Arabidopsis thaliana: one gene and its partner. The gene in region 1 interacts genetically with each later gene. Each region holds a gene or a part of one and is shown in the gene's direction. Other genes may lie near its edges.

The links. A genetic interaction does not mean that the proteins touch.
Region 2: of BRM (region 1) and PMT2, extra expression of one rescues a mutant of the other (dosage rescue), as found in Arabidopsis thaliana (one study listed by BioGRID).

Annotation. Positions count from the first base shown.
Region 1 is NC_003071.7:18,920,662-18,926,904, forward strand, and holds the start of BRM (transcription regulatory protein SNF2), read left to right. Parts: upstream 1-1,871; 5' UTR 1,872-2,539; intron 2,540-2,615; 5' UTR 2,616-2,642; coding exon 2,643-2,816; intron 2,817-3,113; coding exon 3,114-4,388; intron 4,389-4,511; coding exon 4,512-5,819; intron 5,820-5,989; coding exon 5,990-6,102; intron 6,103-6,243. Other genes in the region: AT2G45990 (ribosomal RNA small subunit methyltransferase G), read left to right, coding at 1-25, 127-203, 282-382; AT2G46000 (LDL receptor wingless signaling/trafficking chaperone), read right to left, coding at 533-712, 800-928, 1,069-1,386. UniProt on the Arabidopsis thaliana protein: ATPase subunit of a multiprotein complex equivalent of the SWI/SNF complex that acts by remodeling the chromatin by catalyzing an ATP-dependent alteration in the structure of nucleosomal DNA.
Region 2 is NC_003071.7:6,999,605-7,005,111, forward strand, and holds PMT2 (polyol/monosaccharide transporter 2), read left to right. Parts: upstream 1-2,567; 5' UTR 2,568-2,717; coding exon 2,718-2,844; intron 2,845-2,938; coding exon 2,939-3,285; intron 3,286-3,377; coding exon 3,378-4,439; 3' UTR 4,440-4,631; downstream 4,632-5,507. UniProt on the Arabidopsis thaliana protein: Plasma membrane sugar-proton symporter.

The DNA of each region.
Region 1 (6,243 bases):
CAGAACATCAGGGCTTGACGCTGCAGTAACTCACGTTCTATATATCTATCAATAATTCTTCTATCTGCATGACTTGGTAATGGTCACCATTAGTTTACAATCCCTATGCATTTTTAATTTGGCCAGTTTCGTGGAAGACAGACTCGCAACGCTGAAAAATGTCATAAAAGAGCCTGAATTAGACAAATGGAGTTTATACCTAGGTGGTCTCTTCCCTCTCCCATATCATCACTTCTGGTTCCCCTTATTGGTTATTCTGACAAAAACTTATCTCAAAACAGGAACCTGGGGATACAACACTGAGAAAGAGAGAGCTGAAGCAGCAGGCATTCCCAGGATTCAGGTTATTGAGCTCTCCACGTTTAGCAATAAGCTTAAATGAGTGCATATACTCATTGGAAAAGAAACAAAGCTTTCCTCTTTATTGTATTCTACGGCATTCAACGGAAACTAAAAACCAAACATGTTTAGGTAAGATTCAGTAAAAGAGTTGAACTTTCAGTACTACCCATTATAGAAGCTTTTCTGTGACCTATAATTCATCCTTAGTAAGATCATTCTTGTTACCATCACCATCTTCGTGATCTTTCCTTTGCTCAGCTTGAAATTTGTCAAAGACATCTTCAAATGGAGGATCTCCAGGTCTTCTAAACTCTTGCTTCCCTATCTTGACCTCGTAAGCTTCTTCTTGGCTCAGCACGAATTCCCTTAGCTAATTGAAAGATATGATTGTGATGTTAGATTTTGACTAATCCACTAAACAAAGTTTTCAGCATTGTGTGTTTTCTGTGGCTTTTACCTCAGTCACAAGCTTCCCATTTTGCATATTGAACATCACTGTGCTTCGATCTACAGCCATGAATCTTACTCCTATCCCTCCTGTTCTTAAAACTTTTGTCCATTTCATAGCAATATCAATCACCACATCCTGATTGAAACATATAAACAGATCACTATTCAATCCCCTGAAGCAACTGGACCCATATCGAATTCAGAGAATTTTGAACAGTAACTGAAACTATAACTTAAGGACCCCAAATTCACGATTCGATTTGGATTTTAGTTTACCTTGGTACGGGGGACGCCTAACCGGAGCTTGACGAAACCGACGACGGTTCCAAAAGTCCGTTTAGCCATTTCCTCTTGGATCTGATCGAATCCCATATTGGTGAAATCCGGAGGCGGATCAAATTCCGGGGTCGTTGCTTTCTTCCCCCACTCTTTCCATGACTCGTCTTCTTCATTGTCTTCAACGTCGTCTAGGTCATCGGAGATCTCGATCCGTCGCTTCGTTGCTTCGGCGATCCGGACAAATCCGTGAAAATTCATAAAAAGAAGGAGGCCAACAAGTAGAATCAGCGAAGAAGAACGAACGATCTTCTCCATCGTTTAACAAATTTATTCAGGAATCAGAAACAGAGGAAGAGAGACTGCATCGGCAACGGCATTTCTATATCAGTAAAGCTTCTACAAACTCGCACACAAGTCACAAAACCATAATAATGTGACTTTTTACTTGTTTCGGGAAAAAAAACTATTAACGACATAAACTGAACCTGCTGGTTCAAAACTGTTCGCCGTTTTTCTATCTTAAAATAGAACTGCGTGCCAACTATTGACGTAAAGATGGCAAGCATATCAAGGCTGAAAGATGAAAACGACACGAGGTTGCACCGTAAATAAAACAAGGGTAATTGTATGATTCTCTCTAATCTACTACTGCACTACAGAAGGTAAAACTAAAAGTCAAAATTTGTCTAATTTTAAATTCAAATTAATTAATCAAGTAAAACAAACATAAGTCTAATTTGATTTCCAAATTTGTTTTTTTTTTTCTTTTTTTGATTTCCAAATTTGTTTATAGTAGTATCATTTTAGTATTCTTATTACCCAATACGGAAACAAATATTTGAAATAAACATGGAAAAATTAAAAGTCATTCCATTTGGTTAACAAAAGGAACGTTTGGTAAATTCACACGTGTCTCATCGTCATTTGTGCAACTGACTTGTATAAGGAAGGGTACTTGTGGTAATAAAAGCGAAAACCGAGGGGTGGCCTCGTGAAACGCATTTTCCGTGTTCCAACTGTATCGAGGCGTGGGACCTACAATCAAAAATAAAATAAAATTAATGCCCCTTCCAAAAAAAAAAAGAAAGAGAAAAAAAAGAAAAAGGGAAGTAAGAAGCCAGCTAGGGTTTGACTGCGAGAAATTTCTGATCTGCGTGAATTTCTCAAAGAGAGGAATCGATCATCGATTCCGTGGATTTCGTTTCCCTCCCTTTTTATTTTTATTTTTCGAGAAGCCATCTCAAAGGATCTGAGTTTATACCGTTGCATCCCCCGCGACTTTCGTTTTCCGATTTCCCCCAAATTCGATGCAAATCTAAGAAGAGAGAGAAATAGAAAGGTGTGTGCGCTTCAACCGACTCAGTGTCTCTCTCTCTCTCTCTCTCTCTCTCTCTCTGTTGCTATTTGAGGTTTTTTCCTTTGCCTCGGGGGCTCTCGCTGTCCGAATTCTTTTGTAGGGATTTATTGGGTAGGGTTTTTCCACTTTTTTTTTGTCTTCTTCTACTAGCTTCGTTGTGCATTGGGTTTAATTGTTTCCAGTGTAGTGACTGTCAGATTCTTCGACCAATTGCATGCAATCTGGAGGCAGTGGCGGAGGGCCCGCTCGGAATCCGGCCATGGGTCCGGCTGGTCGGACTGCTTCCACGTCATCCGCTGCTTCTCCTTCTTCTTCCTCTTCATCTGTGCAGCAGCAGCAACAGCAACAGCAACAGCAGCAACAGCAACAGCAGCTGGCGTCTAGGCAGGTAAAGGATTCTCAAGTCTCTGTTTGGTTCGTTATGACTTAGGAGGGATAAAATGCTTGTTTGTAGTGGCTAATGTTTGTCTGTTAAACTTGCGGCTATTCAATTTTAGTGGGACTTGACTGTTTATCAATTCTGTGTAAAAGGAAAGTAACCAATATCTTTAAATTGAAGTTGTGTAATGGTAGCCACTTGGAGAACATGTTTTGTTCATTTCCACATATATATATAGTTGCTCTGAATTGTGGATTATTGTTCATTTGATTGTTACTAATTATTATCGTGCTTCTGATATGGCAGCAGCAGCAGCAGCACAGAAACTCAGATACAAACGAAAATATGTTTGCATATCAACCTGGTGGGGTTCAGGGAATGATGGGCGGTGGCAACTTTGCTTCGTCTCCGGGCTCTATGCAAATGCCTCAGCAGTCTAGAAATTTTTTTGAGTCTCCTCAGCAACAACAACAACAACAACAACAGGGTTCTTCTACCCAAGAGGGCCAGCAAAATTTTAATCCAATGCAGCAAGCGTATATTCAGTTTGCTATGCAGGCTCAGCATCAAAAAGCACAGCAGCAAGCTAGGATGGGAATGGTGGGTTCATCAAGTGTGGGAAAGGATCAAGATGCACGAATGGGAATGTTGAATATGCAAGACTTGAATCCGTCTAGTCAGCCCCAGGCCTCATCATCGAAGCCATCGGGCGATCAGTTTGCTCGCGGTGAAAGGCAGACTGAATCAAGTTCTCAGCAAAGGAACGAAACAAAATCTCATCCTCAGCAGCAGGTGGGTACCGGACAACTAATGCCTGGAAATATGATAAGGCCAATGCAAGCACCACAGGCTCAGCAGCTTGTCAATAACATGGGAAACAACCAACTCGCATTTGCACAACAGTGGCAGGCAATGCAGGCATGGGCGCGTGAGCGTAATATCGATCTCTCACATCCTGCCAACGCCAGCCAAATGGCACACATCCTTCAGGCAAGAATGGCTGCTCAACAGAAAGCTGGTGAAGGCAATGTGGCCTCACAGTCACCATCTATTCCAATCTCTAGCCAGCCGGCTTCATCTTCGGTTGTTCCAGGTGAGAATTCACCACATGCCAACTCTGCTAGTGATATCTCTGGGCAGTCAGGATCAGCGAAGGCCAGACATGCATTATCTACTGGCTCATTTGCCTCGACTTCCAGTCCCAGAATGGTCAATCCTGCTATGAATCCCTTCTCCGGCCAAGGGAGAGAGAATCCAATGTATCCTCGACATTTAGTTCAGCCTACAAATGGGATGCCCTCAGGAAATCCCCTGCAGACTTCTGCAAATGAGACTCCTGTTTTGGATCAGAATGCATCTACAAAAAAAAGTTTAGGTCCTGCTGAACATTTGCAAATGCAGCAGCCTAGGCAACTGAATACACCGACTCCAAATTTAGTAGCGCCATCTGATACTGGTCCACTCAGTAACTCGTCCCTTCAGAGTGGACAGGGGACCCAACAAGCACAGCAGCGATCAGGATTTACCAAACAGCAACTCCATGTTCTCAAAGCCCAGATACTGGCATTTAGGCGTTTGAAGGTTTTCAGCTCTGACTTTTTCCTTATGTCTTCATTTTTATTGTATGTTTTGCTGGAGATGTATGCCTATAAATAACGTGTCTGCAAGCCAGGTTGAATGTTTTTAATTGCTTTTTTTTGACAGAAAGGGGAAGGTTCTTTGCCTCCGGAGCTTCTTCAAGCTATTTCTCCACCACCGCTTGAACTACAGACGCAGAGGCAAATATCTCCTGCCATAGGGAAAGTTCAGGATAGATCTTCAGACAAAACTGGAGAAGACCAAGCAAGGTCGCTAGAGTGTGGCAAGGAGTCTCAGGCTGCTGCTTCTTCAAATGGACCAATTTTTTCTAAAGAGGAAGATAATGTTGGAGATACAGAAGTAGCTTTGACGACAGGCCACAGCCAATTATTTCAAAACCTGGGAAAAGAAGCTACTTCTACTGACGTGGCTACGAAAGAGGAGCAACAGACTGATGTATTCCCTGTTAAGTCAGACCAAGGAGCAGATTCTAGTACTCAAAAGAATCCTAGAAGTGATTCTACAGCTGATAAGGGAAAGGCTGTTGCATCTGATGGAAGCCAATCTAAGGTTCCTCCACAAGCAAACTCTCCCCAGCCGCCCAAGGATACAGCCTCTGCCAGGAAATATTATGGACCGTTGTTTGATTTTCCCTTTTTCACTCGAAAACTTGACTCTTATGGGTCTGCAACAGCCAATGCCAATAACAATCTCACATTAGCATATGATATTAAAGATCTGATTTGTGAAGAAGGTGCAGAGTTCCTTAGTAAGAAAAGAACAGACAGTTTGAAGAAGATAAATGGTCTGCTAGCAAAAAATTTAGAAAGGAAAAGGATTAGGCCTGATCTTGTTTTACGGCTTCAAATTGAAGAGAAAAAGCTTAGGCTATCTGATCTTCAGTCTCGTGTTAGAGAGGAAGTAGATCGACAACAACAGGAGATAATGTCCATGCCGGATAGGCCGTACCGCAAATTTGTGAGGTTATGCGAACGGCAACGCCTAGAAATGAATAGACAAGTACTGGCCAATCAGAAAGCTGTCAGAGAGAAGCAGCTGAAAACCATTTTTCAGTGGCGTAAGAAACTCCTTGAGGCTCATTGGGCTATACGTGATGCACGCACTGCTCGTAACAGGGGAGTGGCCAAATACCATGAAAAGATGTTGAGAGAGTTTTCAAAGAGAAAAGATGATGGCCGCAACAAAAGGATGGAGGCCTTGAAGAATAATGATGTAGAAAGATACAGGGAGATGTTGCTGGAACAGCAAACTAATATGCCTGGTGATGCTGCTGAAAGATATGCTGTTCTCTCTTCATTTTTGACCCAAACCGAAGATTATCTTCATAAACTTGGAGGTAAGATTACTGCCACAAAAAATCAACAGGAAGTGGAGGAGGCAGCAAATGCTGCAGCAGTAGCAGCGAGATTGCAGGTATACATACTGCTTTCTCTACTCCACAGCGAATATCCATTACACTCTGTAGATAATTCTTCAAACTTTAACTTAAATGTTGACTTTTGCGTGTTTCAGAAAATAGAACTTTTTCTTTTCAAAGGTATAGTGGATATATAGTACCTTACCTGTTTCCGTTTTTGACGCAGGGGTTGTCAGAAGAAGAGGTCAGGGCAGCAGCTACTTGTGCTCGAGAAGAAGTTGTGATCAGAAATAGATTTACGGAAATGAATGCGCCAAAAGAAAATTCATCTGTCAACAAGTAAGGGCATTAGTCACACAAAAAATGATTAAAATAGGGAATTAGCAAAGTACTAGTTGTAACTCATAATTACCAATGCAGCTGAATACTTAAAAAGTATGTGCTTATCTGTAAAATGCTGATAATCCTGCACATCCATAT
Region 2 (5,507 bases), about 12 Mb from region 1:
TTTAAATGATATTTTTTAAAAAAATTTAACAATTAAAAAAAAATATTTATTAATTTTCACTTAAATTAATAAATATTGATTAATAAAATATCATGGTCCTAACATTAATTTATAGAGGTTTTACTATATATTTTTACTAGTGATAAGTGATAACATGTACAAGTGCTAATTCTAGCACAACTAAGCATTTATCAAGTCTTGGAAAAGACTAAATATTTTGCGCTTTAGAAATGTTTTGTTTCATGACTCCAAGCAATTACCTTAAACCAATGGAGATTGTGAGAAATAGGTTGATAAAGTCAAAGGCTCTCTGAACAATGGCCTAAATATTCATTGACTTTCTCCTAATACTTACCACTATGATTTTCACCATGATAAATGACTCATGTTTGATATTTCTAACACAATAGCTAGAATGATTTCAATCTTGATGTGGATAATAAAAGTCTCCCGCTGGACACCTCAATAATGTTACTCTTGTTTCTTACCTAGTGATCTAAGGTGCTTACTCATATACAATTTTTTGGATTTTGTTGATAAAGTAATTGGATCTTGTCTCTTAGTATGACATAAACTTGAGAGATTAACTGTTGAAAAACTGATACAGTGGTGGCCTACTCACTTTGGAGATGATCATATGAACGTCAAAAATTCAATGAAGTTGATTTTTCTGAAGGGTCCATTGGACCGTATAGTGTGGACATATGCAACTCAGCTACTGGATGAGAAAGCTTTGCATGCTTAGTCTCATCTAAGTATCAAGCCATGGTAAGAGGTAAATCAAAGATAAGAGTTAGATGGATTCGAGCTGTGTTTGTTTTGGTAACAATTATTCGCATAAATCGGCGCTTGATAGTTAATTTTTAGGAACATGATTGATGTATTTTTGGCATTTGCTTTTGGTATATTTCGATTATGGAAATTGAGATCTCCATGTGATAATTTCATTTTTGAACAGATCTTGGACAACGTCAGAAGAAACACTTGAAGAAGGGAGGTGGCAAGAAGAAGCTTAACATATACTTCAATGCAGGTCACAGACATGGACATGGACATAAATATGCATCACTTAAATCTTTTAAACATTTTGCCACTTTGATCTAACCTTTTGCTATTTCTCATGCAAAACTTAAAAATCGCTGGCTTGAGTGGCACTCGGGAGAAAACCATATAAAATTCTTTGGTCACCGGACTAAGAGAATGTATGGATCTCAACCTTGGCCTATGACTTCTTAGTTATTCAAGAGAAAAAAACATGTACATGTTGTCTTTAATATTTAAAGTTTGATGTATTCTATTGTAAAAAATATATATATATATATGTGATGCTAACTTAGTGAAATAATTGTTATGCATGTTCGATTCAAATCTATATTTGATAAAATCACCTAATCAAGATAAAAGTAAGATACAATTCTAAAAACTTAAATAGAAATACAAACAAAAATGAATTAGCTTAAAAGATTTTTTATTTTGCATGAATTTTAAATTTTATACACCAAAAAACCTTTGTTACATTATACGCATCTTTGATCAGAGAATCTGAAATTTGAAGTTTGAGACTAAATCAAATAATTTTAAAAGTTTCAAAAAACGCAGCCCTATAAGTGCTTTCTTGCAACGTTGATAGCCGACTCTTAAAAAGTATATATCCAAAAGCCAGGCTCGTGGAACTCTCTTTACATCATTGAGATGCATCGAATTCAGTTACCAAGTTCAATCCTATGTTTGAGATTCTTGCTGATGTAGGAACTAGGGAGCTTCTCCATGTTGGGTTTTATTTTAGTTCTCTTTTATCTTTATTTTGAATATTCTTGTTTTGGAGTTTTCCGATTACATATAGGTTTTGATAAGTCTTTAAGATACTAGATAAGTATCGATTCCTAAAATGAGACAAGGTTTTTCGTGTTCTTATATATAGATGTCAATCCCTTGACTTGCAACTCTGTAAGGTACAACCCCTCGATAATATTGTGGGGCAGCCTGGTTGGAACTCCCGTCGAGAGAGATGCACACGCTTAGACATGGCTAGAGTGCTTGTCAAAGTAGACTTAGAGAAGCCTTTGTCCGCTCAAATAAAATTATCATTGAAAAAACTTGTATTGGAGTTGACAAGGATTGTACGTTGCTCGGAGCCTCAAAAATGCGGAAATTTCTTGACTCTAGTAACGAATGGATATAAACATTGGCCTATGTGAAACAAATTAAGCATCAGTAAAAAGAGAGTGAGCAATCTTATTGCATGTATCTACACAATTCTTACTTGCACTGTTTATATTTAGATTTATAACAATCTGATACGTGTAGATGCCTATTTACTTATGTTTCTAAGTTTAGAAAAGAAAATAACAAAAAAAAAAAACGTAAAAAGTGAGACAAAACTTAAAATCTTAAATGATCTGGTCTTACTGTAAACTGCCAATTTTAGGACAAAACTTGTAGTTGAGAGAAAAAACCTGCGTCTCTTGATATCTTCTAATCCGATTTCCTATCCTCTGAAACTTTTTAAACCGTTTTAAGTAACTGAATGTTTTTTATTGTTTAAACATTCAGTTATTGGTTGGCTTCAGTTGTGAGTATCATTCATCTATTTAAATCTCTTCATCTTTCAATAGGTCTCGTGTCTCACAAGAAACAAAGTTCATCTGCTAATATCACTCTCTCTTCTCCTTACTAATTACGTTTTCACCGTAAGTTTTACAATCGCGGTGGACACAATGAGTTCCTCAGGAGAAGAACGAGGTGTTGTTGTTGCCGAGTCCGAGCCGCCAAGAGGGAATAGAAGCCGATTTGCTTTTGCTTGTGCAATCTTAGCCTCCATGACTTCTATCATCCTTGGTTATGGTTGGTCTTCTAATCATTCTCTAACGATCAAATTTCAGATTTGGTTTGGTTTAACGGTTTAGATAATCATCCTCACATTTTATGGATGTTGCAGATATTGGAGTGATGAGTGGAGCTGCAATTTTCATAAAAGACGATTTGAAGCTGTCGGACGTACAACTTGAGATTCTTATGGGAATTCTAAATATCTATTCTCTGATCGGTTCAGGAGCAGCTGGAAGAACTTCCGATTGGATCGGAAGACGATATACCATAGTGTTGGCAGGATTCTTCTTCTTTTGTGGAGCCCTACTAATGGGTTTTGCCACTAACTATCCTTTCATTATGGTCGGCCGTTTTGTAGCCGGTATCGGTGTCGGTTACGCTATGATGATTGCGCCTGTTTATACCACGGAAGTCGCTCCAGCCTCTTCTCGAGGCTTCCTTAGCTCTTTCCCTGAGGTTCAATAGATCCAAATTTTACTAGTTTATATGATATAAAAAAAAAGAAAATTAGGTTTATATTAATGTGATATGATTTTATATGCATGCAGATATTTATCAACATTGGTATACTATTGGGATACGTATCCAATTACTTCTTCGCCAAGCTTCCAGAGCACATTGGATGGAGGTTCATGTTAGGTATTGGAGCTGTGCCCTCAGTGTTTCTAGCCATTGGAGTGTTGGCAATGCCCGAGTCTCCACGGTGGCTCGTCATGCAGGGTCGTCTAGGGGACGCTTTTAAAGTCCTTGACAAAACCTCAAACACCAAAGAAGAAGCCATCTCAAGGCTCAATGACATCAAACGCGCAGTTGGAATCCCCGATGATATGACAGACGATGTTATAGTCGTTCCGAATAAAAAGAGCGCTGGAAAAGGCGTGTGGAAGGACCTTCTCGTTCGACCAACCCCGTCCGTTCGACACATCCTCATAGCATGCCTTGGTATCCATTTCTCCCAGCAAGCCTCCGGAATTGATGCTGTCGTGCTTTACTCTCCGACCATCTTCTCAAGGGCTGGACTGAAGTCCAAGAATGACCAGCTCTTGGCTACGGTCGCTGTCGGAGTTGTCAAGACTCTCTTCATCGTAGTAGGAACTTGTTTGGTGGACCGGTTTGGACGTCGTGCCTTGTTGCTTACGAGTATGGGTGGAATGTTTTTTTCCTTGACCGCCCTTGGAACTAGTCTCACGGTGATCGACAGGAACCCCGGGCAAACACTCAAGTGGGCTATAGGGCTCGCCGTTACGACGGTGATGACTTTTGTCGCAACATTCTCATTAGGTGCAGGCCCCGTGACGTGGGTCTACGCCTCAGAGATATTCCCCGTGAGGCTAAGAGCGCAAGGAGCAAGTTTGGGAGTGATGTTGAATAGACTAATGAGTGGTATTATAGGAATGACATTCCTATCTCTTTCTAAGGGTCTCACCATCGGTGGTGCATTCCTTCTCTTCGCCGGAGTTGCGGTTGCCGCGTGGGTCTTCTTCTTCACTTTCCTCCCGGAGACACGTGGTGTGCCTTTAGAAGAAATAGAGAGTCTCTTCGGGAGCTACAGCGCAAACAAAAAGAACAATGTTATGAGCAAAGGGAAACAAGTAGTTGATGAACAATGAGAGTGAAACAAAATTTGCTTCCATTTCATTATTTGGTTAATGGAACGTCGATACCAAAAGACTCGGTTCCGATCCGAGTCTTCATCGGGCGAGTGTGACCAATAAGAAAATTAATAAAGAATTTTACTTGCCATCTCTAAATTCATGTTGTATATCTTTAATAAGTTGTTTGCAGAGAACGAGATTAAGAATTAAACTTTTATAATCTGCCATTTCAATTAATAAATGCAACATAGGTTTGATTACAACCATTTTTTTTTTTTGGAAAACTTATTAAGGTACGTACGTTTCGGTTACTAGATTATTTGCTAGTTTAGTTTATAACTCAAAAGTGGGTTTGATGATCTACGATCCTTCCAATTAGTCTAATACTCCTATACAAAGGTGGTGTGATGAAATTGTTGGTGGAATTATATTTAATATCTTATTATCGTTATGAAATATATTGAATACATTTGTTAAAATTAGTAAGTAATTAACTTTATAGATGTATATAAATGTCAAAATTGATATATGTGGTAATAAACTTTGTGTTTATATGATAAGTCTTTGTTAATTTATCGAAGCTTGTAGAATTGTCGTTTCTATTTAATTGGTTTAGGGTTTTTGTTGGGTTATGAGCCTAAATTTATTTATTTTTGTTAAAAAAAAGATAACAAAGTATAATAAATTGCATAACCACACATGCCGACTAAAAATCATTTACACGTATATTATATTTACTTCAAAAGATGAGTTTGTACGGTGACATGCATCATCAACAAACATATGTTATATGACCAGCACCAGGACCATCAATCCGGTCACTATTCTCGTGAACCGTCCGGCCGTCAGATTTTCTTTGTTATGAATAAAGTTTGCTAGTTACACAAAGTAATTAGAGTACCCTCATTAAGAGTATTTAACTTGTTACATAGCTACACATAACAACTAAATTAATGTATAAGTACCCTCATTCTTAGCAACAAAAAAAATAAAGTACCCTCATCAAAAATTGGATTATTACAAAATGACGGACACCAACAAGCATAAGTTATATGACCAACATTATAATCATCAATTAAGTCA